Canis lupus familiaris: one gene and its partners. The protein of the gene in region 2 purifies or fractionates together with the protein of the main gene of each other region. This does not show direct contact. Links are inferred from orthologs where the notes say so. Each region holds a gene or a part of one and is shown on either strand. Other genes may lie near its edges.

Evidence for each region.
Region 1: the proteins of WDR62 (region 2) and MAPK8 purify together in Homo sapiens (affinity purification with mass spectrometry; 5 studies listed by BioGRID and IntAct, counting the BioPlex papers as one, with this or other methods). This does not show direct contact. The link is inferred for Canis lupus familiaris from reciprocal best matches to the Homo sapiens genes WDR62 and MAPK8.
Region 3: the proteins of WDR62 (region 2) and CEP170 purify together in Homo sapiens (affinity purification with mass spectrometry; 3 studies listed by BioGRID and IntAct, with this or other methods). This does not show direct contact. The link is inferred for Canis lupus familiaris from reciprocal best matches to the Homo sapiens genes WDR62 and CEP170.

Annotation. Positions count from the first base shown.
Region 1 is NC_049249.1:547,706-550,520, reverse strand, and holds part of MAPK8 (mitogen-activated protein kinase 8), read right to left. Parts: intron 2,456-2,815; coding exon of another isoform or gene 2,451-2,455; coding exon 2,305-2,450; 3' UTR 1-2,304. UniProt on the Homo sapiens protein: Serine/threonine-protein kinase involved in various processes such as cell proliferation, differentiation, migration, transformation and programmed cell death.
Region 2 is NC_049222.1:117,484,605-117,488,726, reverse strand, and holds the start of WDR62 (WD repeat-containing protein 62), read left to right. Parts: upstream 1-1,234; 5' UTR 1,235-1,249; coding exon 1,250-1,426; intron 1,427-4,122. Other genes in the region: THAP8 (THAP domain-containing protein 8), read right to left, coding at 414-496. UniProt on the Homo sapiens protein: Required for cerebral cortical development. Plays a role in neuronal proliferation and migration.
Region 3 is NC_049228.1:34,338,684-34,343,031, reverse strand, and holds the start of CEP170 (centrosomal protein of 170 kDa), read left to right. Parts: upstream 1-1,492; 5' UTR 1,493-2,245; intron 2,246-2,786; exon of another isoform or gene 2,787-2,911; intron 2,912-3,080; exon of another isoform or gene 3,081-3,228; intron 3,229-4,348. Other genes in the region: SDCCAG8 (serologically defined colon cancer antigen 8), read right to left, coding at 1,073-1,139.

The DNA of each region.
Region 1 (2,815 bases), on a different chromosome or scaffold from region 2:
ACCAGTACATCTTTAGCTTAATAGATTTATGTAATGAGGGAAAGTTGTATTTAGATATTGTATTTTAAAAACCTAGGGCACCTAACATTTAACAGACTGTTTTCAGGATAGAATTTGTTAAGAATTTTAGTCTGCATTGACTAATAAGAATTCCTTTTCTCTGGATCAACTGAAACATGCTGGCTGGCAAGGGGGAGCTGGCATTTACAACAAGTGATACAGTAAGAACACCTGGTTTTCCTTGCTTAATCTGTATCAATAGAGATGGCTTACTGGCAATCAAACATAAAATATGAGAAACCTCTGAAAGCATGTCAGTTGTTAAAGTGCAACAGTGAAATAATCTATCCTAGGGAAAATAAAGCTGATTAACTGCCGAACTAATATAAACTAAGAACACACTCATGCTCAAATTTCCACTAAAATTGCAAATCCAATTGTTTCTATAACTCGAGGTGTAACATTCTCAAAACTCTAATTTGCTTATTAATAAAATTAACACACCATGTTGTATGAGTAGAAGAGGGATTGATAAAAAGGTTGATAACTTCAAGAGGCTAGAACTCACAACTGGAAACCATCAAAAACAAACTTGCTATTTCAAAGCATACAAAAAGGCTAATGTATTTTAATCCTAAATATTGCACATTAACAATAACCTAAAATACCTAACTCAAAAGGCATTTTGCACTAAATATATGAAGAACATGCCAAGCGAACTCTCAGACACTGCATATTGAGATGTACCAGTTCTTGCTCCTGTTGGTCATTAATTCCCATGGACTTTCTGCCTAGAATCTTGTCACTTACTTACATATGCATTTCCCACTTCATTACATGAAATCCTTCTTGTTCCAAAAATAACAAAAAATGTCTGGGGGCAATACAGAGAATGTATTTCAGAGATAGAGACCTCAATGGCATTTACTTAAGAAAAATTTGTTGTGGAGAAAGAATTCTGCAGGTATAAAATGTAAACAGTTAACATACACTTGATAGGAGCAGCACCATTCTTACACTACTCAACATCCACATTGCATGTTTTATTGAAAATTAGGTATAAAAAAACAAAGACTCAGACTAAATAACCACTACTTATGCCTGCTCTGCTCAATGTGAAGAAACAGTCCTTAGAAAATGATATCCTATATATGGCTGTGTGCTACTATTTTCAGATGAACGGTATATTGCTCATTTGATACATCACCTACAGAAATTGAAGTAGGCTTTGGAACCTCCCAACAGCTAGTATAAATATGATTATGCTACAGTTAGAATCAAATGGCCAGAAACACCTTGAGAACTGGTGCTCCCCTGACTGACACTGTGATAGGAAACCAGAAAGGTCCAAGGGCCTGAGGCTGCAGGAAAGGGAAAGACCAGACTCTAGACCACTGCTGGGACCTACAGCCTGAGTAGATTAACTCTGTGTACAAAAACAGGCTCATAGCTAGTAGAAGTGAACCATCTGTTTATTTGCATTGAAATGTATTATTCATGAAGTATCCTCTTGACTTTATGTAATCATAAGCTTTGAGCATGCCACAAATTTGTAAAAATACCATATTCTTTTTACTTTACTTTTGTTGTGTGGGGTTGGGGAATAGGAGGGTGGGGGTAGACGCCCATCATCTTCAAAGACATGCTCTAAGTTATTCTGCCATTTAGATGATGGGACTTTCGCCAAAGAACAATTGTAGGATGCCTACCAACTGTTATAATTAAATTAGGATTGGCAAGTAGCAAATATTGGAGGTTTTTTAACACGTTCATCATTTACAGTAGTTATTCCTGAATACAACTGGCTACAGGTTATTTTCCCTCACTCCTCTGGGGTTATTTCATTGATAAGCACATAACCCTGAAGGATAGCATCATGAACAAAACATTTAAAATAAAATTCTAATTAAAAAAACTATAAAATCTTAAATAATTCATGATATAGGCAAGTCACCACATAATAGTTGCTTAAACAAAATCTTAGAAATTCAGTAAAAAAAAAAAAAATCAGCAGCATAAGATAAAGCAAATATGCAAAAATTTTAAACCATGATAAAATAATTAGGTTTACATTATACAGTTAATTACAGCAAAAATACAATACAGTTTTGTTGCTGTTTTAAAACACAACTTAAGTTTTAAATTACATCACTTGAAATTAAAAAAAATAAACTACTTTACTACAAAATGAATTCTACATTTTTGAAAAATCACTCAAAAATAAGACCACTGAATTGTTTTCAAAGTAGTTCTATCAATGACTAAATGACTCCCCATCCCCCCACCCCCCAAAGGCCCAAGTAGTCATCTACAGCAGCCCAGAGGTCCAGCTGATGCTTCTAAACTGCTGTCTGTATCTGAGGCCAAAGTTGGATCTGTTGACATTGAAGACACATCATTGACAGATGATGACGACGATGGATGCTGAGAGCCATTGATCACTGCTGCACCTGTGCTATGAGAAACAAAACAGCAAATCAGTTGCAGACAGAGTTGCATGCCGAGCTGCCTATACTGTATTGGCTACCTCTAGTGATCAATAATTTTTTTCTCTTGGCTTTGAAAAGGCTCATTAGATTGTGTATGAATAATACTGATAAAACATGCAAAACTGTCTGTACTGCATTTTGTTGGAGAGAGGATCTCAAAGGGATATATGGCCCAAAAGGTTAAAAGACTACTGCCCTAATAAAAATTACTTATCTTTTCACTGTAAACTCCAAACAATATCCTGGCACATCTTTTTTAAAAAAGATTTTAAAACATAAAACATAAAAGTACAAGAAGATTATTTCCTTTACTGGAAGTAAGTTAG
Region 2 (4,122 bases):
TAAGATTTCCTGCCTGAACAACAGGAAAGATGGAGCGAGCTCTTAACTGAAATAGGAAAGGCTGTGGAAAGTTTGGGAGAGAGACAAGATCAGGAGCTCAATTTTGGATGTTTTGCATTTGAGATAAATTCGTGGAGATAACAAGTGGGCAGTTTTAGGGTCCTTCCCCTACACAGTCCCACTTCTCATGCTCGCTGCTTTCACTATCTGTAGTTTATCTTCCACCCCTGCGTTTTAACACGTCTGCACCTCTGCGCGTGCTGTGTTTAGGGCTGAGAACACCGTCTCTTCACTTTGCTAGCCCTGCTTCCAGACACCTGCAAGCTGGACCAGGCGCGCGGGCACAGCTGCAGTTACCCTCGGGCTCCGCCCCCAGCCCCGCCCCCCGAGCCCCGCCCCGCGCTTGCGCTCACTTGTAGAAGCTCACGGGGCGGTTGTCAGCGCCCAGTCGGCCCGCAGTGTTGGAGCAGTTCGGAGCCCGGCAGTACTTGGGCATGGCTGTTCCACCCCGTTGAGTCCTGCCCAGTCTGCAGCCGCACTTTGATCCTCGCCGGGCGCCGCCGAACCCCACCCTGCCCGCTCTCCGCCTACCTCACGTGATGGCCCTTGATGCCTCATCACGTGCAGGGGAGGGAAGAGAGCGCCTGCGCACTACGCGCCCAGCCGCGTTACCACAGTTACGCCCTGGTCACGTGGCGAGCGGGGAAGCGCGAGGACGTCGGCGCAAAGCCAGTTCTTAGGCATCCGGACCTTACCACGTGTTGGGGGAGAGAGGGGGGGGTCGCGGCTTTTCTGAGCATGCGCCGAGTGGTCGGTCTCTTTGGACTCCACCCCATCTTACATCCGGGCGACTGCCAGCCACTGCGTGGGTAGTTGCTGGGGGTGGGGAGTGCGGCAAAAAGCGAACTGGAGGCTTTGATCTTCGCTACGTAAAAAGTTAACACCTAAATGCTTGTTAATGGTGAAAACAGACCGCGTTAAAAACGCCACTTCCTTGATCAGGCATCAAGTAGAGGAGCTCCGGTTCCACCCGGCCGTAGGCTTCGCTCCGCCTCTCGGCCCTCATTGGTCAAAACCGCCTCCCGGCAGCCCTGACATTGGCCAGACCCGGGCCTGCCGCGTCCAATGGGCGGCGGCGCCGGCTTTCCCGCGGCCGTTTGCTCTTCCAGTGGGTCGTGGAGGCGGCGGCGGCGGCGGCGGCGGCGGCAGCGGTTGAGGAGCCTAACGGTTGCCCGGCTCCGGCGCGTCGATGGCGGCCTTGGGGCCCGGAGGCTACGCGCGCAACGATGCAGTGGAGAAGCTGCCGTCCGGCGCGGCGGGGGTTCCGGCGCGGAGGGGCCAGTGCTCTCCGCCCCCCGCCCCGCCGCTCTGTCTCCGGCGGCGGACACGACTCTCGACGGCGCCGGAGGACACGGTGCAGAACCGGGTGAGGAGCTGTTTGCCCTGCCCACCCCAGTCCCGGGGTTCGGCGGCCGCCCCCGGCCCCGCCCCCGGATCGCCGGCCCCGCCTCAGCCCTCGGCTCGGCCCCTCGGACTCCGGTCTGGCCCGCGGCGTCTCGCAGGCCCCTCCCACCCTCCCGTCTCCTCTCCCTCAGGCACTGCCCTTCAGACCCGTCCCAGCTCTCCCTTCCCTCGGAGGGTATTTTAGTTCTGATCACCCTCGCCCTCCTTCCTGCCTCTCCCTTCAGTCACCGTTAGATGTCTCTCTGGCCCTTCATTTTTGTTGACCCCGCCCTACGCTGGATCTTTAGGGTCCCCACCAGTCAGTGTGCAGTCCCGAGCGCTACCCACCTCGTCTGTCCCTCAGCTCATTCCACCTTCTCGCCCCACCTGCCCGCCCTTTCCTTCCTTCCACCCTTACCGACGTGGAATTCTTGGCGCATGTTGCCACCCCAGGTTACGGACACTGTGTGAGTAAATGTAAAACCTCAGCAGCGCTTCCGAAGTGGGGGTTGACATACAGAATAGTCCCCGACGTCCTTAGATAGAAAATCAAAGACGATTTTAGAGTAGGTACAAGGAATTCTCTTAGCACACCAGCGATTTAAGAAAATGGTTCTCCAGCTCTCCGAGCTACAAAGTCTATTTTTATAAAAGAGAAGTTGACAGTAATCATGCCACGGAGTTGCAGGGAGCAGAGATGAAATCGTGACCATGACCTGCTCTTGGCAGAGGCCAGATAGAGGGTGGAAACACGGTAGATCCTGGTGGATCTTGTTTCTGCCACCTGGCGTCCTGCTGCACTCTGATTATATCACCCATTCCTGGCTGCAAGGCCTAGCTAGGCAAGTGGCCCCTCCCCACCTCTCTGGCTGTACCTCCGTTGTCCTCTCTTTTTATCAGTGTTAGGTCACATTAGCCAGCTGTTTTCCCGAGGCTCCCCAAGCTCTTTACCTCCTCCCAAGTGTTTGCTGAGTCTTTTGGGCTTTTTTGCTGCAGTCCACCTGGCTGGGTCCTCATTCCTCAAATCTCAGCCTGAATATCCCTAGCCTGAGCCGCCTTTTTGAACCCCCCCACCTAAGATAGACACCTACTTTAATCTCTTACCTAGCATGCTGTACTTCATAGCATTTCTCTTGTATGTTCCTGAAAGTACTCTAAACTGTGTGTAACATAAAGGAATAGCAATGGGGATTTCAGAGAGACAGCAACGTGGTTAAGCGGCCTCTGGACCCAGACTGCCTGGGCTTAAACCTTAATTCTGTTCTTGTTATGAACTTTTCTGTGCCTCAGTTTCCTCATCTGTCAAATGATGATAATAATATAAATATTCCCTTGCAGGGTATTTGTGAGGATTAAGTGAACTCACGTATCTTAAGCATTAGAACAATACCTGGCACATTGCAAGTACTCTTATTAGTGGTAGCTACTACTGCTTTGATTGTGTAACTTGGATAATTGGTGTCATTTATTTATTCTTGTTTGGTGGCACAGAGTCCATCTGGCTTACAAAAGATGTACTCTAAAAATGACCATTATATTATATTAATGCCCAGTAATGCTGGTTGACAGATAGAAAAACAATGTGAGTGCCATTGTTTGATTGTTTGGAATAGAGTCCTGCTGCTGCTCCTTCCTGGGTGGGTTACCTCTCTGGGCCCCTTTATAGCCTCATCTGTAAGATGGAGATGATGATGATGATGATAATGACCGCAGGGTTATTGTGAGCATAAGTCAGTACAGGTATTTAAACAGTGCCTGGCTCCTGGTAAATGCTCAAGAAGAGCTAGTTATTATTATCCTATGTTTGCCTCTCATTTCTAAAGCCAAGGACTTGCTTGAGAATGTTTTGCTTTATAATAATTTGAAACTAGGGGATCCCTGGGTGGCTCAGCAGTTTGGCGCCTGCCTTCGGCCCAGGGCGTGATCCTGGGGTCCTGGGGTCGGGTCCCATATCGGGCTCCCTGTGTGGAGCCTGTTTCTCCCTCTGCCTGTGTCTCTGCCTCTCTCTCTCTCTCTCTCTCTCTGTGTGTGTGTGTGTCTCTCATGAATAAATACAATCTTTAAATTTAAAAAAAATAATAATAATTTGAAACTAGTATATTCAAAATATGAAAATACAATTCTAATAGTTCATATTCTAAACAGTTTCAATCAACCATGATAGTGACTTGTTCATTTAAATTACTTTGCTTAGAGAATTTAAAATTTTAAGTGTGACTATTCATTTGTTTCTTTACTTGTTGAACCTCTAGACTATGAATTTGCTGAGGGAACAGATGGTGTCCACTCTTGCTCACTGCTGTGTCTCTCCTTCAGGGCCCAAGGGTACTGGCTTTGGAGCCAGAGACTAGCTGGGTTTGTATCCCAACCTTGCCATTCCACAGGTGTGGGGATTTTGAGGCTCAATGACCTCGCCTCAAAATCCCCACACCTGTGGAGTGATGACAGTTGTGCCTTCTTCCTTGGGTTGTGGGATTTCAAATCTTTAATCCATATAAAATACTTAGAAATGTACTCAGAGGCCGCCTTCTCAGTGAGGCCTCTCCTTCCCCTATACTCCCAATCTTCTTCCCTGCTTTATTTTTCTCTCTTGCTCCTATCATCATCTGACATCTATTTTACATATTTGTTCTGTATATTTTTTATGTCCTCCATCCCATCTCCACTAGGGCAGGGATT
Region 3 (4,348 bases), on a different chromosome or scaffold from region 2:
AAATGATTCATTGTTCCAAACACTTTAAATAATTGTTTAAAAATGGTTGGTCAATGATCTAGAGGGCTAAGAAAATGCAAAAGAATAGAGTGTATTTTATTTAGTACAATATTCTTCAGTGAAATTTTTACATGTATACGTCCCATATAAAATGTATTTCTTACCAATGGGTAACAGCAAAAAAAAAAAAAAAAAAAAAAAGGTTGGAAAGCTTTACATGGATTATTTCATTTGCTCCTCATAATAACCCTGTAGCTGACATAACTTCCTATTTAAAAATAACAAGACTGAGGTTTCCAGATGGCATATATGATGTCCAAGATGACAGATCTATAAGTACGACCATCACTTCTATAAAGTCTCACTCATAAGGAGCCATATTAAGAAAATGTGAATTAACTAAATAAGGTTTCGGTAATAATAATTGCGACATGATTAATAAAGAAAAAAATTTTTTTTTTTAATTTTTTAAAAAGAAAAAAAAAAATAGGCTTTTAAGGCTGTCAGCCCTGAATACCCGGCTGTGCCACCAACCAGCTGTGCGGACTCTGGCCTAACTTAACATCTTTGCACCTTGATTTCCCCACGTGTCAAAGAGGGATATTCATAACGTTGCTGTAAGTTTTAGCTTATCTTGATGTATGTAAATAGCTCAGACCGCTAAGTTGAAGCTGCTGTGATTAAAATAATTAGTATTTTCTTTCTCCTGGTCCGCTAGGTCACATTCAGCCCACTACACCACAATCCGAATGTGTAAAAAGCGTGAGTCAGGAGTTTACTGGCCAGGAAGTGGGCAGGAGTGGGGGAGAGCCACCCACGAGTTTCTGCGGGCCTCGGGTGACAAAGATGCTTCAGTCGAGCTCGCTCGGGGAGGCGGTTCAGGTAGGTCACTATGGGAATCAAGGGAAACAACACTGCTTAACCGTAAAGACAAACACAAACTACTTCATCTTTCCTCAAGGTTCACAGCACCATCCATCTTCTTCCTCTGTGTCCTGGCGGGGGCTGAAGCGGGGTGTGAGGAAACGCACCTGGGCAGCCCCCGCCCACGCAGAGGTTCGGCGCAACTCACCCCGGAGACTCCGTTGATACTTCCCCAGAATCTCCTCCAGGGTAGAGTTCTCCGGGGACTTCGCCATGCACAGACTCGGGGCCCAGGGATGGGAGTTACGTAGGGAAGTGTCCAGTGTCGCCCCTCGGGGAGCAAGAGGCCTTGGCGCCGGAGCAGCACCCGCCTGCTTCCGGCCGCTGCTGTCACTGGGGGAGCAGGGAACCCCGGACCGAGCTCGCAGGGGGCGCTTCCCACCCAGTGGCCCTCTTGGTGGACGTCGGGAATTGTAGTTCGCAGACTGCTGGCCTGCAGTCAGGAGGCTCCTAAACTACCCCTCCGACTGTACTACAATTCCCGGAGGACATCGCGCTAAAAGCTTTGGCGGTTTGGCGGCCAGATCCGGTTGCCAAGAGACTGCTCGGAGGCTCCGCCCTCTTTCTCTAGCCCAGGCTGGCTGAGTCCTGCCTTTATCCCGCCCTGCGGTTTGGACCACCCAACTGACGGAGGCCTTGACTCTTTTCCAAGTTTGCTAGTTTTCGGTTGGTCCTTGGGTCTTCTCAAGAACACAAATAACAAGCTCTCCACCTGCCAGCCGCGACATTTGCCAAAACGGCCAAATACATCCTCAAGAAGGTTGAAATCTACCGAACAGCCTAACTGTGAAGGCGTCCTACACTACAAATCCTAGCATGCCCAGCAACCCAACGTCCGCTTGCATTTGGCGCGCTGCCCTCTGGGAAGCGTAGTCCGCTTTAGTTGCGGTCCCGACTAGCGCCAGAGCCCTCTTTATTGTTCAAGCGGGTCTTTGGAGCACGCCTGCGCAATAGGCAGCTGGAGAAGCCTTTGGGTGAGACCCTCCGCACAGCCCCTTTTCATTGTCTGCGTCTGGCGCCTGCGCAGTTGGAGATCGTTGGGACTGGGCCGGCGGAGGGGATAGGGCCCGGCTCCTCGCCCATTCCTCAGGCGCCTGCGCACTGGGCGGCCGCTCTTTGCCGTTACCGCTATGTGCGGGGCGTGTGTGGAATAACGTTATTGCCCAGCGGAGCACAGGGCCGGGAGCTCGACCGCGGCGGCGGCGGCGACGACGACAGCGGCGACGACGACGACGGGGTGGGGGCAGGACGGCGTGCGAGAGACTCACGGGACGCGACGCGCCCCGCCTCCCCCGTCCGGTCCCTCTCTCAGCGGTGAGGGGTAAGTGATGCGCTCAGCTGCTCGGTCGGGTTCGCCGCCGCCGCCGCCGCCGCTTCCCCACATCCTCCGGGGTTTGCAGCGGGGGCTCAGGGCGCGGCCTGCCTTGGCCGGGAGTGCCGGGCCGGGCGGCGGAGGGGGCGCTTCCCGGCGGCTCCGCGCGGCCCCCCCCCCCCCGCCCCCCAGCCGGGGCTCGTCGGGGCCTCCGCTCCCCTCCCCTCCCCCACTCGGCCCGCGCCCCTCCCCCGCCCCCTCCTCGCTGCCCCTTCCCGAGGACTTCTTGAATCCTTTTCAGCCCTCTCTCGGCTTTGTGCAGCCCTCCCCCCTGCGCTGTAGCAGCTCGCGAGGGGGTGCGGGCGGAGCATTGGACGGAATGGCTGCGCTGGCGCTGGGGAACGGATTTTTTTTTTTTTTTTTTTTTTCCCACCCGGGTCGGAGCAGCTAACCGTGCCGGGCCTTTTTGTGAGGTTGGTTTGCGGATGTGGGGTGGCTTGGGGGAGGTCAGGCCGGGCGCCCTCTGGACGCGGTTGGAGGGCGTGGAAGACGTGGTGTCACGCACTGTGCCAGGCGACTGCACCCGCGCAGGCTCCGGCTCCGTAGTAAACCCAGGGGAGGAGAGAGCGGCTTCCTGTCGGCTTCATTGTCCGAAGATTCAAATGTGGGGTTTGGGTATGCTTCCCTTGGTTTCGTGCCTGACACTAGGCGGGAAGACGTGGGATTTGTGTCCTAAGTTAAGAGAACCGCCGGGGCTGGGGGCGGGGGGGACGGGGGGCTGGGAGGGAGGGAGGGTGGTGTTTTAGTAGAGCTTTAGGTGTTTGCTTGAAGGATGGAAGGCCCTGGAAGACAGGTACAGCGCCTGTCCAAGCACTGCCAAGGCGAGCCGTATGAAATTACTGGATAGCGACGAAGATCGTCCTTAGGAAGGGCCCGACGACGAGGCTGTTCTGTAGCAGGGAAATGAACCAGCAGAATTGTTTTTTCATTGGGTGGGTAACGCTTACACGTTCCTGAGGGAATAGATTGGGCTACATCTTTCCGGTTCTTTTTTTTTTTTTTTTTTTTTTTTTTTAAGCAGTCAAAACAACAACAACAAAAAAAACCAGGCCTGGTACATTTCTATTCCTGATTTTGTTTATTCATACTTTCATTCTCTTAGTGAAATCCCACCCTATTTGGGAGAAATGTGGTGGTGCAGATGATCGTTGATTCGAAATGCATCTTTTAAAATGATTTCATCTTAAGCTTTCAATGCTTAAAACCGTTTGCTGGCACTAAAACAAGCGGAAGAAAGAATAAGCAGGATGGGGAGGAGCAGGTGGAGGAATAATGGGAGAGGAGGGAGTTACATTGTGAATACTGCATCTAGAGCTTCACTGATGCAATCCTAGCTGGATATGCTTCAAAAATTTAGTGATTCAGTTCTGGAAATACTACATTGCAAGTACAAATAATTTCGGGTTTTTTTTTTTTTTTTCTGCCGTTATTTTGTCTTGAAAAGTAAAACCAGAGCTGTTTTTGTCCTTCCCAACTTTGTAGATATTGTAGAATTTTGGTGTTTTAAAAGTCAAGAATCTAAGTGCACTTGACACGGAGGAAGACGCTAAAACTTGGGAAGTTAACCGAATTGTCTGTCCAAGCCTAAATGCTAATGGAAAGGCAGAGGCAAATAAAACCAAGATCTGTTCTTGCAGTGCGCTCTTTTGGTTTTTTCACTTAGTCCTCCTAGCCTGAGAAAACTTAAGGAAAGCTTCTCTACGTGCTCCTTGAGTTTCTTTACCGATCAAGTTCATTGATACTCTAGTTGTATTAATCTAGTCCTTTTTCCTTGTGATGCAAAAATATGTGGAGTTTTAGTTTTATAAATTAACTTATAAGGAAAGATGCCCTAAAATGAGCTTTTCATAAAAACAAACTCTTGGAAGTTTTTCCCTATTAGTAAGCATATTTTAATATTTCCTGATATTCAGTAGTATTTTATAGTATGAATTCTATAAGCTTGGTTAAAAATAAAATTGCCATGTAACAGGAAGCTGTGAAGTTCATTTTTCTTCAATTAATGAATTATTTTCAGCTTAGCTTTTGAGAAAAAAAAATCTGTTGAACTTT